2 linked regions of the Notamacropus eugenii genome follow. The protein of the gene in region 1 binds, or shares a complex with, the protein of each later gene. Links are inferred from orthologs where the notes say so. Each region holds a gene or a part of one and is shown on either strand. Other genes may lie near its edges.

Region 1 (7,973 bases):
CTAAAGTGGTTCTGTTTGGCAAGCAGAAACTAAATTATGGGTACAAGAGATTTGGAATAGAGATGGTATCCCTGGAAGTAGGAACAGGGGTTTAAAAAATACACAAATGCAGATAACGGGCATACTCCATGACTTCAGTCTTAGATAGGTGTGGAAGGTTATAGCAGGTAATAATGAATTCTGTTTTGGATATGCTGAGGTTGAAATATCAGTGGGCCATTCTGTGGGAATTGGTGATGTGAAACTGGACCTCCAGAGAAAGATTATAACTGTAGATCCCCAATTGCCTCATCCTGGGTCATCTCCAGTCATCCTGATGAGTATCTGGTCACTGGATTCAGATGGCTTTGGAGGAGAAGTGAGGCTGGTGACCTGCACAACCCTGCCTCACTCAAAACAAAGTCAAGTGCACGTCATGTCATCATTTCTCTGATGGCATGGTCTTCTTCGGCAATGAAGGATGAACACACACATATAACTGTTGATCTAATAGAACTGGGAGTCATCTAGGTAGAAGATTAAACCTACGTAACCTAATAAGGTCACCGGGAATAGAACGCTGGGGTAGACCCATAATCAGAGCAAAAGATATGGATGATGACCCAGCAATGGAGACTGAGAATGAGACAAGTAAGGAAACCAAGAGAACAGTGTCATAAAAACCCAAAGAGCTATTAATTGGTCATTAATTATTTCAATTAACTTTTAGTTGACTCAATAGTTTAAAACTAGTTCAATTTCTTGCTTAGATTGGATTTTTTTCCTTCCCTTCTAAGAGTAGAAGAACAATGTAAGGAGCTCTCCCTTCCTATCAAGATGTTTCCTCCAACATACCTATCTGATTGCACAATAATGAATGATAATATGTGGAGATGGTGCAGTGAATAAAGTGCCAGGCCTGGAGTCAGGAAAAGTCACCTTGAAATCTGGCCTTAGACACTTACTAGCTGTGTGACCCTGTTTGCCTCAGTTTCCTCATCTGTAAAATGACATGACTGAAAATGACTGAACAATTACAATAATGTATAGAAATAGAGAATGGGTCTTATTCAGGAAGAAATTTGTCCCAGGTTTAGGCACAATATAAATTATTTCTATTGTCTGCTAAAATGTTGACATAATCTCTCCCTTTGGAGCAGATTAGAAACTTTTACAGAGGTAAAAGTATGAAAATAAGAAATATTCCCTCCAGAAACTGAAGGAAGGAACGTTAGGCATATAGATGTACTTTCCTAGTATTGTGACTAGATGATTTCAAGCTGGGAAGGAAAGAGGCCTCTTCACTGAATGGGCGCTACCACCCTATAAGTGATTACCTGGAAAGGCCTAGCCTAAAAGACCAAGGTCTCCCATTGCATCCTGGGCCATCTCCAGTCATCCTGATGAATATCTGGTCACTGGACCCAGATGGCTCAGGAGGAGAAAGGGAGGCTGGTGACCTTGCACAGCCCTCCCTCACTCTTTTTCAGAGGTTCAGTAGAGAAAACTTAACATTTTTTTCTTTTGTTTTAGACTACATTTGGACAGGCAGTTTTTCTGGTGTATTTCCTTTATTAATGAAGTTAGTTTCTTTCCAATCACTTCAGCATGATTGAATGCCTGAGTAGGTGTATCTGTTGTGCTGTTGGGCCCATTTTGAGTACAAAGGATTCTTCCATGATGCATTATGGATGCTGCATCCTTAGAATGTTGGTGCATCTAAAGCACATTACAGGAACTAACCTGGTAAGTCCCAGCAGGTAGTGGAGACCACCAATCTCAAGGGAGACATAGAAAGAAGCATTCTAACCAAGAGGCAGCTTCAATAAGTAAGACCCCTGGCAGCAAAGAAGAGAGCTAACTGGATTCAAGGGAGAAGTAGCCCTGTAATCTGAGAGTTTAGCAGTGGAGAGGAAGAGACCCAGGAAACCCATGGAGTAGTTCACTCAGCAGAGATGTTTTCTCTAACAGGGAACAGTATGAAGAATCCACAAAGATAAAAAAGAATTTCGATCCCTGCATCACAAAAGTCACGAGTTTTCCTGCCTACACATATTCCCCATGTGTGTACCTCACCGTGTAATTTGTTCACATTCTTCCCTCTGTGTGTAATTGTGGAAGGTATACCACAAGTTTGTGTGGGGAAATGTTTTATAACTACTATTTTTACTGTCACCTTAGGAAAGCTCACCAATGTGTACGCCTGAGTTCTTTTAGGAACATGGATCCACCAGGTGCCCCTAGAATCTGAGAATATTTTCTTCCCTCTGAGGAAACAACCAGCGTATAAATGCAAGCTAGGAAATTGGCCCAGAGGGAGTGCTATCTATGTTTCACTGTATTGAGAAATATGAGTAAGAAGCTACATATAGTTTTTCAAGTTGTTAGCAGAGTAATCAACTTTATTAATAAGTACATTAAAAGGATTTTATAAATTGTGTGACAACATGAGAACAGAGCATAGGTAACTTCTACATTCCTCTAAAATACTTTTGGCTTTCTTATGTATGTCAGTGTTTGAGCTAAGAGAAATTACCATTTTTCTTCAGTGATGATATAGATACAACAGATTCATTTTATGACAAAAATATTCTCCTTAAACTTGTACATTTGGTGAATATTTTTGAAAAATGGTACTCACAAATAAATCAGTGCAAGGTCCTCTAACTCATATTTCAATCCAGAAGAATAAAATTACTGGCCACTTATGAAATATTTGGACAGCTAGGTGGTAGAGTGGATATGATGGGGTGATGAGACCTGGACCCCTAAAAGGAAAAGACTACGTCTTTGAAACCTACAGCCCTTGCCAGCAGGAAGCCGTTTCCCTCAACTTTCCCACACAACTCAGTCCCTAGTGTTGGCCTGAGACATCTGGCCCATCTCGGTACACCTAGATGCTCAATAATCTTTTTAACTGTGGCTCTCCCATCACTTAACTCCTTACATTGTCTGCACCTGGACCACCCCAGGCTATTTAACACTCCTTTATCCCATCTAGATCTTCTCACTGTCTTTTCTTGCATATAAGTACCAATTTATGCGCCACCCCCCTTAAATTTCGTAGATTCACTTTGAATCCAGCTCAATTCTACTGGCTCACAAATAAAGCTTTGATTGAAAGAAGGCTTGAGCTGTCAAATTCTGTTAAGGCAGACCTGCTATGCCCTTGCATTACAAGGTTCTCAGCACCCCAAACCATAACGTATTGACCACCAAGGCTGGAGTCAGGAATATGTACTATCTGTGTGACCCTAGGTAAATCATTAAACCCTAGGTTTGCCTCACTTTGCTCATCTGTAAAATAAGCTAGGGAAAGAAATGGTAAACCAACTCCAGCATCACTGCCAAGAAAACCCCAAATGGGATCACGAAGAGTCAGACAGGACCAAACAACAACTACCGTGTACTTTAATATGTGGCACAGTGCATAGAATCAGGAAGGCTCATCTTCCTGAGTTCAAATCCAGCCTCAGATACTTCCATGGTGTGTGACTCCGGGCAAGTCACTTTAACCCTGTTTGCCTCAGTTTCCTCATCTGTAAAATAAGCCAGAGAAATAAATGCCAAATCAGTCCAGTATCTTTGCAAAAAAACCCTCAAAAAACCAAACCCAAACAGGGTCACAAAGAGTCAGCCATGACTGAACAAGAAAACAGAGATATAAAAAAAAAATTTATAAAATATTTTTGTTTCCCAACTTTAAAACGCCTGCCTTGCAAATGAAATAAAAAAATGATCAACTTATTAATCTCTCATTAATCATTTGATCAATATGAAGAAACAACACATTATTTTAAAGCCTTTGGGATTCTGGATGAAAATAATGGATAATGAAACCATTTGCTATTTACAAAGAGGATACATTTGTTCTTACTCCATCAGAACAAGAACTTCTGAAATCTTATGATTTAGCCACGGGTAAAAAAAGAATTATCTGGTATATTAGGCAAAGCAATGCAAATTTTACTGCAGTTTGCAACTTTTTATTCATATGAAATAGGGTTTTTGGCTACAGTTTGTTTCAGTAACAAGATATCTCTCCAGGAGTTCTTGGAAAAGATTTACTAGTAGCATTATCACCGTGAACACCAAGTTTCCTTTTTTTTAACTGAAAAACAAGCCTCCCGTTAATCAGGTGAATAGCATTTTAAGTTTTGTTGTAAAATGAACTGTATGGATCCTGATTCATAAAGGATCCAATCAGCTTTGTGCTACCATTTTATTGAACATTTAGGATTTGTTACATAAAAATTGCAATAAATTCTTAATTCTGTCTGAATAAAAGATGGAAATCGTATTGTATTTCCACACACTGCTTTATGAAAGGCGAGGGCATAAAACCGTAAAGGGACACAATAGGGAAAACAGCACCGTGGGGGGTCCGCGTGGGAGGTGACCCGAGGACCCGCACCCGCTGTAGGGGCTCATCAGGGGGTCTGTGAAATTGCTTTTTAAAAATATTCTAGTCACCGTGTTTCAGGGGAGGCGGCTTCGGTGGCCAGGTTATGCATCTTGAAAACCCTGTCCAGAGAAGGGATCCCCCGGCTTCGTCCGGACGCTTCCAGGGCACACAAAGGGTTAAGCGCCGCGGGCGCGGGGAGGCTTGGGCGTGGGAAAGCTGACACGACCATCCCCCACCAGGGACCGCACCGAGCCAGTCTAGAAACCAAACGCATTTTGTGCCTGCGGGGTCACCGTCCGCCTTCCCTTAATTACGAACCGGAAGAGAAATGCCCAGTCCAGAAGCGAGAAGGCAGGGGGCGGTGCTGCGCACGCGCAGCAGCGCATCTCTCTCCCCTCCCCCTTCCCTTTCCCCGCGGAGGGTGCGCACAGTTACTCCTCTCCGTGAAGCCACAGCGGGGCTAGGGCCATGCTGGGGAACTACAGCCGCGGCCCGGCCCGGGCGAGCACCAGCCGGCAGCGGGACTCGCTCCCGCCCGCCCCGCGAGAGGCGAGCGGCTGTCGGACCCCGCAGCAAAACCAGGGCATCGACGACCGGGGCGATGGCGAGGCGGCGGACGACGAGCCCTGCCCGGCCCCCGGAGGCTCAGAGCCGAACTTGGAGACGGAGGGCGACGACGGCAAGCGGCGCCTGATCCGCCATCAGTACCGCGAGCTCATCCACAACGTGCAGCGTGAGCGGGGAGCGGGGGAGGGGCGGCAAGGGGGGCGGGGCAGCCTCCTCTGACCTCCGGCTGTGCCTTCTGTGCTTAGAGCCCCCCTGCTGGGTGCGCCCCCGTGGGTGCCCCCCTGCTGGGTGCGCCGAGGAGCGCTTTACAGTGAGGGTTTCACGAGCCTCACCACCGCTTTGGGAGGGAGGGGCTGTTGATCTCGGAGGAAACTGAGTCTGGCAGGTGAAGAGACTGGCCCAGGGTCCCACGGCTAGGCTGGATTTGAATTCCGGACCTCCTGACTCCGGCTCTCCACCGCTTTCGCCACCCAGCTGCCCCTCTCCTGAATCCCTCTAATAATAATGGCAGCAGCCCACATTTAACTTGTGCAGCATCTCCTCTGCCTCCCCGGCTCTGTGTGTTATCCCCACATCTGCTCCGGGAGCGCTTTGCACGCTTGATAGTTTCTCTTCGGACTGTTTAAAGAGCGGGGTGCTGCCTATCTTGTCATTTTATCATTATTTTGTCGTTATAATTATGAATTGGTTGAGATGTTCATGGCTCACCGTAGGCAACTAGAGGCAGGGGGCACAGTGGACAGAGCTGCCCTCTGAGGCTGGAAGACTGGTTTCGAGCCCTCCCTCGTACACGCAGGCTGTGTGACCCTGGCCAAGTCATTGTCAGGGTCCCAGAAACCCTCAGAGATTAAAAGTTGCAGAACAGTTAGTCTGCATTGGGAGAGGAAGTTTCTTCACCGGAGAGTTCCTTACCAGCTTTAGACCATGTGCAAATCATGCCTTGAATGGGTTTCTTTCAAAGTATCCTCAGAGGAAGTTTGCCCTGATTTTACATTTGTAGAAACTGAGGTGGAGGATGAGTAGCTTGACCAAGATCACAAGGCCAGTAAGTGCAAGACTTGGATTAGAACTCAGCTCTTCTGGTTCCAGATCCAGTCCTCTTAACACCCCATACAGCCCTCTTTCTGTAGTTTAGTTGTATAAAGAGAAGCTCACGAATTATGGAAAAAACCAACAGGTTGGGAAGAGAAAGGTGTAAGGGATTCCAGACTCTTTTTAAAGCACTAAACTGTCTTTATCATGTGAAATTTTTTGACGATAATTCTCGAAAAGGTGGGGAGCAGGACCTTTGGAAATACTTGCTGTTGATGTTGCTTTTTGACAATAATGTATTAAAATTTCAGTTTTCTAAAGTATGTATTTTTAAAATAGAACAACGGGAAGATATGTTGAGTTCAAAAAGCAACAAATTAACAGATGCACTTGAACAAGCCAACCAGCTGTTTAACAGAGGTAAGTGATAGTATTTAGTAATTTCTAGTTTTAAACTTAACCAGGAATATTAGGGTGACTCAAATTGTTGGGCTTATGGCTAGATTTAAATTGCTGACATCAAATTTGTGCCTTAGAGAATTTTGTAAGGAGGGGTTAGTTGTTTTAGTTATCTGAGTTGTAACGTCTTTCAGTATTGTTTTTCTCTGTCATTTTCTGCATTCTCTTCATTTAGCTTACTTTGCTCTTCATCATTTCATGTATTTCTTTACGAGGTTTTATGGATTCTTCTGTCATCATTTCTAATAGTGCAGTAACATCCCAATACTTTACTTTTATTTTTTTTTTAATACTTTCCTTTACCCTGGTCTCTTCAACTATTCACCTGACATTGATTGAGGCTTCAGTCTTTTTGTATTCACATCACCTGAGGCAGCTAGGTGGTGCAGTGGATAGAGCACCAGTGCAGGAGTCAGGAGGACCTGAGTTCAAATCTCTCCTCAGACACTTGACACTCTCTAGCTGTGTGACCTTGGGCAAGTCACTTAACCGCAACTGCCTCATCCTCGATCATCTCTAGTCATCCTGATGAATATCTGGTCACTGGGTTCAGATGACTCTGGAGGAGAAGTGAGGCTGGTGACCTGCACAGCACTCCTTCACTCACAACAAAGTCCAGTGCACAAGTCATGTCATCATTTCTCTGATGGCATGGTCTTCTTTGGCAATGAAGGACGAACGCACATTCACATCACCTAGTATAGTACAGTACAGCAGCTACTCAGTATATGTTTATTTGTAGTAGTAATCATGATTGGATAGGGGGTAGGAGGAGATAATCAAAGATGTTGTGGCTCACTCCTTTCGGTGTGTTCAATTCTTCATGACCCCATTTGGGGTTTTCTTGGCAAAAGAACTGGAGTGATTTGCTATTGCCTTCTCCATCTCATTTTACAGATGAGGAAACTGAGGCAAGCAGGGTTAAGTGATTTGCCCAGGGTCACACAGCTATTAAGTGTCTGAGACCAGATTTGAACTCAGGAAGATGAGTCTTCCTGGCTCCAGGCCTGGCCCTCTAGGTTGCCATAATCAGAGATGACTAAGGTTTAATTAGGACTTAATGACTGAAAAAAGAATCACATTAACAGAAATGGAGAAAAGAGGAAAAGAGTTTTGTTTTGGTAAAGAGGTAAGAGTTCTGTTTTAGTAAATTCAGTTCAAAAAAAAGGTTAAACATCTGTTCTGCGTAAGACAGTGTATGAAATGATAGACATGTAGAAATAAAAATGAAAGAGTCCCTTCAAGGAGTTTAAACACCATGTACACAAGTAAATAGAAATTAATTTAAAAGGCAGCAGAGTACAGTGAAAAGGACACTGACTGTGGACACAAAGCACCTGCGTCAAATGCCATTTTTGACAGGTATTTTCTGTGGGATATTGAGCCTCAAGGCCTCCCTTTCCTCAGGTGTAAAATGAGGGGCTAGCTAGACTAAATGATCTCTAGAACTTTTTCCAGGTATAGGTCTTAGATCTTCAGGAAGAGAACACTGATGACTGAGGGAATCAAGTAGAGCTTCATGAAGGAAAGG
Region 2 (7,490 bases), on another chromosome or scaffold:
TAGGGTCACACAGGTTAGTGTCTGAGGCCAAATATGAACTCAGAAAGATGAAACTTCCTGACTCCAGGACTGGCACTCTATCCACTGTGCCATCTAGCTTCCCTCCTTGAAGATAGAGACTGTCTTTTGCTTCTTTTTCTATTCCTAGAGTTTAGCATAATACTTGGCAAATAGTAGGCATTTAATAAATCTTCAATGACTCACTGACTGAATAAATGCTTGTTGACTGGAAAAAATGGTGGGGGGAAGATTTTTCTTTCTTCTACCTAAAATTAAAACGTTGATTATTTGTCTGCTGTGGTTAGAATTTGTCAGTAAGTTGTGAGCTTGTTTCAATTCTGATATTGATAGCTTCTTGCTACTTTTTTTGCTGATGGAAAAACTTAAAAATATAAAACTGATATGCAATAGCAACTTATTTACATTACAACAATGTAACTGCTAATAATAAATAACAATTCTCTGTCATAGATATTTCCTATGTAACCAATGTACTGAATTTCCACAAGTAAGCATTTATTTATTCAAATCAGTAATCTGAATCCTCATTGTCAGCTGAAAGCTAGTCCTAAACAGGTTACTTAGACTCCTAAAGGGCTATGTTTAGGATTTTCTTTAAAGATGACAAATTACTCTGCAACCTCTCCACAAACACAGATAATTTTTACAAGGGATTAAAAAGTTTTAATGTCTTCTAAACTTAGTCTTAACTCTAAGGGGCAGCAATAATATTCTGCTCCTCAAGAAAACTTTGCTGTTTGCTAGGGATGGGGAATAATCCCAATGATTAGTTTCCAAAATTGTAGAAGAAGTCTTTACTATTATATGTATGCTAACTGGAATGCAAACACCCTGCTAAATGAAGGCTACCACAAAATCACCCAACTGTTCTGACTGGGTCCACAACAAATTTATGTCACATAACTTCAACTGGGTCCTCACTGTTGCTAGGTAAACTTACCATATCTCCCTTATGAACTCACTATCCCACTCTCCAGAGACTCTTTCAAACTTTATTATCCCTCCTCAAGCCTACCATGGCTTCCCTTCACCCATTCTTTCGTCTGAGAATCTTGCCTCATGTTTTACAGAAAAAATTGAGTACATTTGCCCAATTACTTCTTTTCCCCTCTTCCTCATCTCTTATCAAGTGCTTTCTGCAACTGTCTCTCCATCACCCTTGTCTCACATGATGAAGTGCTCCTACTTCTTACCAAGACTAAGCCCCTCTATTTACTTGTTCAAGTAATCCCATTCCAACCTTCTAATCCTATTCCAATTCCTCTAAGGGACTGTCCCCGATGTCATCCCCACTCTCACTTATTTTCAATCTCACTCTCTCTACTGGCTCATCTCCTACTGCCTATAAACATGCTCATGTCTCCCCACCCGAATCCTTCCATCCCTAAGATACATAATTTTATATTTCTTCTGTTTTCTGTACTTAACTTCTCAAAAAAACCTTCTACAAAAGGTGTCTCCATTTCCTTTCCTTTCACTCTCTTCTTAATGTCTTACAATTTGGGGTTCCAACCTTATCATTCCACCAAAAATGATCTCTCCAAAGTTACTAATGATTCTTAACTGATGAATCCATTGGCCTTTTCTCAAATGTCATTCTCCTTGACCTCTCTGCAGCTTTTGACGCGGTCGATCAATCCCCTTCTAGTCCTCAATGCTCTCCTCTCTCTAGGTTTTCATGATACCACTCTCTCCTGGTTTTCCTTTGACCACTCCTTTGTATCCTTTACTGGATCCTCCTCCAGACAATGCCCACTAAGTACAGGTGTCCCTCAGCATTCTACCTTGGGCCCTCTTTTCTTCTCCCTCTGTTACTTCATTTGGTGATCTCATCAGCTCCCATGGATTTAATTACCATGTCTATGCTGATGATTCTCAAACCAACCTTCCAATCTTGCATCTCCCGCTGCCTTTCAGATATTTCAAACTGGATGTCCAGTAGACACCTTACATCCAATACATTCAAAATAGAACTCACTATTCCCTTCCCCCTCCTCCCCAAGCCTTCCAGGCCTCCTACTTTCCATATTACTATTGAGGGCAATACCACCCTCCAAGTCTCTCAGGTTCACAACCCAGGAGTCATTCTCGAACCCTCACTATCTGTCACTCATATCTAATCTGCCACCAAGGCTTGTTAATTTCACTTTTGTAACATCTTTCAAATATACCCCCTTCTTTTCTCTGACGCTGCCACCACTCTGGTACAGGTCCTCATCACCTCAGACCTAGAGTGTTGAACTGGCCTGCTGGCAGGTCTGCCTGTCTCAGGTCTGTGCCCACTCCCAGTTCATTCTTCATTCAGTCACTAAAGTGATTTTCCTAAAATGAAAGTGTGATCATGTTACTCACTCCCATGCCCCCTGATAAACTCCAGTGGCTTCCTATTGACTCTAGAGGCAAATACAACATGCTCTGTTTGGTGTTCAGAGCCCTTCACAACTCAGATTTCTTACACCTTACTCTCCTCCATATAGTCTCTGATCCAGTAACACTGGACTCCTGGCTGCTCCACAGACAGGACATTCCATTTTCTGGGTTCAGAACATTCACTCTGGTTGTCCCTCGTGCCTGTTTTGCTCTCCCTCCTCCAATTGGACCTTTCTCACTTCCTTTTAAGTTACAACTAAAATTTCACCTTCTCCAGGAAGCATTCCCCAACTCCTCTCAATTCTAGTGTTTTCCTTTTGCCAATTATTTCCTATTTGTCTTATTTATGTAGCTTGCTTTGTATATAATTGTTTGCATACTGTTTCCCTATTAGATTGTGAGCTCTTTGAGAGCAGGGCCTGCCTTTTGCCTCCTTTTGTGTCTCCACTGCTTAGCACAGTGCCTGCCACACATTAGACACTTAACAAAATGTTTACTGATTGACAGTATGATTTCGTGGAAACAGCATGAGATTTAGAGTCAGAGTATTTGCATTTTAATTTTGGCTGTAATATTTACTACCATAGGGACCACGGAAAAGTCACTATTGTCACGTTAACTTATACCTCTACAAGACTGTTTTCCTATCTGTAAAATAAAAGGAATTGAACTAAATGATCTCTGAAGTTCATTTCAGCTCTCAGTTCTATGATCCTAAGTGTCCCTTAATCTATATGTTTTTCCTAAGTCCTAGAAAAGTATAAAAAAGGTTTTGTTTATTAATTGGCATGTCGTCCAATAATTTTCAGGATGGGAATTAACACTAGAAAGAATGTGATTGTACTTCAAACAATAAAAGGACTCATCACACCCCTCCATAAGCAAGCCTAGAAATGTGAAACAGCCTTTGGAAAACCCCTGTATTTTATCTTACTTTGGGACCCAAAGTTGCCCAGTCTTTACTTACACATACATACACACACGCACCCTGAAAACAAACCTTGATTCTGCGGTATAACAACAAGAGTCACCACAGGGGTGCTTCAAACCTGGAAAAAGAAGTATCTGTGTGCGGCTAGGCACCTGATTATACCACCACCTTCGTACAAGTTTAGTACTGTATCGAGTCTCCAAGCTATCCTTCCTACGTCTGGGCCTCAGTTTCTTTCATCCGCACTTACAACTAGGAAATATTCCAGTTTAGAGTGCGAACCACAGGGCTCAGAGCTCGAAGGGCCATTTGCTTTTCATTTTCTAAACAAGGAAACTGAGGCCCAGCACAGGGAAATGACTCGCACACCCGGGGAACCGCAGGAAACCGAATCCCACGCCAGGGCCCCGCTGGATAATCACGAGATCCCCAAGGCTCCCTCACCTTCTCACATTCGCCCAGGCACGCAAGGCGGGCAGGGGCTGCCCTCCTCCTTCCCCCGCCCCTCATCACCAGGATGCTCACCCTGTCCCAGGGGCTCCAGCCTGAGTCACTGGTCCCAGGTACCACGGGCCCCCGGGGAGCAGGCACGGTCTTCCTTCCTTCCCAGCTCCTCCCGCCGGGTCGTGGACCCGGCTCTCCCTCAGTCACCTGCCACGGGGCCAGGCCCTGCTCCAGGGCCGAGGTCTGTCTCTGCTTGTCCCGGTCTGGGGGGGCAGGAGGAGCGGTGGGGGGGTCGGCGCCCTCCTCGCCCGTCACGGCCGGCGGCCGGTGCCTGACAATTTCCCCTCGGCCCCCCACCCCAACCGAAGGCCCCAACCAACCCCCTTCCCCAGCCTCGGAGCCACTACGGTTGTCACATGACTAGAATGGGATGGAACAGGGTGGAGCGCGGAGGCGGGACCAGGAAGGGTCACGTGAACAACCACGTCCAGAAGGAAAGGGAGTAGGTGAAGGCCACCACGTGACTAACTTATGCCCCCCCCCCCGGCGCCCGGTGATGACGTATGTCAGCGCCTAGTGATGACGCGAGATCGGCGCCAGTTCCGCGCTGGTCTCCATAGGGATCAGAGAGAGGCGGCATCCAAAGTTTGGCCGGAGGCTTCTGACTGAGGCGGGTTCCAGTGTGGGCCGGCCGACCGGACCAGGTAAGGGGCCCGGCGCGGGTGGAGGTGGGAAAGGACCTGTTGACCTGTGAGTTATGTCCTTCCGGGGAAGACCGTGGAGGTACTGACCTGGACTCGATTCCGTTTCCACCAGCGTTTTGTTCAGTGCGTAGCTTGTGACAGGAGCCTGGAGGGGGTAGGTGCCCTCTAGTCCGGACCCTCATTGCCCAGGTGGGGCAACTGAGACTCAGAGGGTACACGATCGCCTAGTATTGATAATCAGCATTTAGGTCGCTTTCAGGATTTTTAAAAAACATTTAAAAAATGAACATAAACATCTTTCCCACATGAAGCAAATAAAAAGAAGCCCACAGCCTTAAAAACCCAATCCTGGCTGCGGAGCCCGAAACGCCGTCCCACGCTGGCCGTGCCTGAGAGGTGTGTGCGCCCTTGCGCCTTGGGGGCCTCCCCAGCCGTGTCGGGGTGCGCCTGACCGCTGCGCTGAGCGCCGCTCTGCAGTCGGCCCGGGTTTTGTACGTGATCCTGGTTCCGCTGAGTCCATTTTTCCCTGGATCTGTTTCAGCATTTCTCTGTGGCACAGGTTTGCCAAAGACTTCACAGTCGCCCCCACGACGTGGGTAGCCCCGCTTTGCACAAGTCCAGGAGCTTGCCCAGAACCCCAGTTAGTAGTAGGGGAGGGGCGCTTTGATCTCAGGGTCTCCGTGCTGTCTCTCTCTCTCCGTCGCTCGTTTTCTCTTCCTCCTTCTTTGAGCGGGTGTGTGTGTTTGGAAGGAAGGGGAATATTCGCTTCGGGTCTAATTGTGTATACAAATGTATCCACTTAAAACATGGAAGGCATAATCTTGCTCCCTTTTGTACCACCTTACTCCGGGGAGGGAAAGGGTTTAGGTTCACAGTTAGCTCGTTGGAGAGATAACAAAGTTTCTCCAGAAGTTATTATGAGTGGATGACATCATTGAGAATACTTCAGATAATAAGAAGGCCTGCAGACTGCAGGTGGGCTCAACCAATTGGAGTGGCCTTCAGAAAATTACCAAGTTTTTGATAAAGGAACCAAATCTACAGCTAGCTGGAACTAGCCAAGAAAAAGGACCTGGAGAAAACTTTTCTTCACTGCGCTTGCTTAAGGAGCCTCATGCATAGAAGCAGACACACCCCGCGTGAAATTATCCCTCCCTTTTCTGATCATGGGTCCTGTGTTAAAGCATGTTTGGGAGGGGATCGCAGCAAGGGTGGTTACTTAATGGACATGTAGGACAGACCAGTCCATCTCCTGGTGGGAGGATCTGTGCATACAGCAATACCACTTCTAGTTCTGTATCCCCAAGAGATCATCAGAATGCGAAAAGGACCCACATGTACAAAAATATTTATATTAGCTCTTTTTGTGGTAGCAAAGAAGTGGAAATCGAGGGAAATGGCTGAACAAGTTGTGGTATGTGAAGGTAAAGGCATACTATTGTTCCATAAGAAATGATGAGCAGGTGGATTTCAGAAAAACCTGGAAAGACTTAAAGGAGCTGATGCTGAGCTGAACCTGGAGGGCGCTGCATACAGTAAAATTGTGCAATGACCAGCTGTGATAGACTTAGCTCTTCTCAGCAACTTAATGATCTAACGCAATTCCAAGACTGAAGATGGAAAATGCTATCCACATCCAAAGAAATAACTTGGGTCTGAATGCATATTGAAGCATACTAGTTGCTCTCTTTTTTTTGTTTGCTTTTCCTTTTTTTGTGGTTTTTCCTTTTGGTTTTGATTCTTCTTTATAACATGACTGATGTACAAATATGTTTAATATGATTGTATATGTATATATCAAATGAAATACCATCTTGAGGATGGCAGAGGAGAGGGAGGGAGAAAATTTAGAACTCAAAATCTTATAAAAGTGAATGTTGAAAAGTAAAAATAAGTAAAAAAATGGAACATAAAAAGGCTTATCTTGTAGGAGATGGAAACATGTTTCTGTGTAATAGAAAATTTTATAGATTTCTATCTGTATTTGGAGCATACTCAAGCATTTATTAAGTACTTACAGTGTGCCAGGCCCTGTACTAATTTCTGCAAATGCAGGGGGGAAAAGAAACCAAACTGTTCCTATCCTCAAGAACTTCCTGTCTATTCTAGTGGAGGATGGGGACAACAGACTAGCAATTCTGTACATAAAAGGCATAAACTGTGGAAATGAGAGGTAATCTCAGAGAGAAGGCATTTGCTGTGGGAGGTGGTGTAGAGAGTGGGAAAGCTGGGGAAATGCCTTTTAGCAAGTGGAATTGAACATGGGTTTTTAAAGAAGCTTTGGAAGCCAGGAGAAAGAACATTTGGAGATGAGAAAGAACATTCCAGGATACAGGGTTGTTGTGCGGAACAGTAAAAAGCTTGATTTGGCAGGATCTTTGATTGTAGTACTGTGTAAAATGGGGTGGAGCTAGGTTGTGAGGGGCTTTTAAAGCCAGACAGATCTGGAGGTAATAGGGTGCCCCTGGAGTTCATTAAATGGAGGTTAGGGTTAGTTATTGTGTTGCTTCAGGCACGTGTGACTCTTGGTGATCCCATTTGGGGTTTTCTTGGCAAAGATACTGGGGTGGTTTGCCTTTTCCTTCTTCAATTAATTTTAAAGATGAGGAAACTGAGGTGATATGCTCTGGGTCACACAGGGTTCTTCCTGACTCCAGGCCCAGCACTCTATCCACTGTGCTACCCAGCTGTCCAGGCTTAATTGAGGCTCTCATGTTTGTTGTATTGAGCATAAACATTGAGTCTGACCATATTTTGAAATGACAACAACAAAGCTTTGTACAGATGAAAAAGAAGGTGGAAGGAGTAACAAAATAAGCAACTTATTTTATTTTTATTTTTCATTATTAAATTTCATTATTTTAATTAAAATTTTTTTTATCTTCTTAGTTACTCAGACATGCAGTTTTGATGTTATTCTTGACTCTTCACTTGTACCCACCTCACATGTCTAATCTTTCACCAAGTCTTGTCTTTTCTATCTTCACACTCTTCTATAGGTTCCCTTCTGTTTGCTCACA

What was found.
Region 2: NSMCE4A (region 1) and NSMCE2 share a complex: the UniProt entries of both Homo sapiens proteins name them as parts of the SMC5-SMC6 complex. The link is inferred for Notamacropus eugenii from reciprocal best matches to the Homo sapiens genes NSMCE4A and NSMCE2.

What each region holds. Positions count from the first base shown.
Region 1 is NC_092872.1:202,579,372-202,587,344, reverse strand, and holds the start of NSMCE4A (non-structural maintenance of chromosomes element 4 homolog A), read left to right. Parts: upstream 1-4,719; 5' UTR 4,720-4,852; coding exon 4,853-5,117; intron 5,118-6,322; coding exon 6,323-6,403; intron 6,404-7,973. UniProt on the Homo sapiens protein: Component of the SMC5-SMC6 complex, a complex involved in DNA double-strand breaks by homologous recombination. The complex may promote sister chromatid homologous recombination by recruiting the SMC1-SMC3 cohesin complex to double-strand breaks.
Region 2 is NC_092875.1:118,918,528-118,926,017, reverse strand, and holds the start of NSMCE2 (E3 SUMO-protein ligase NSE2), read left to right. Parts: upstream 1-4,254; 5' UTR 4,255-4,470; intron 4,471-7,490. UniProt on the Homo sapiens protein: E3 SUMO-protein ligase component of the SMC5-SMC6 complex, a complex involved in DNA double-strand break repair by homologous recombination. Is not be required for the stability of the complex.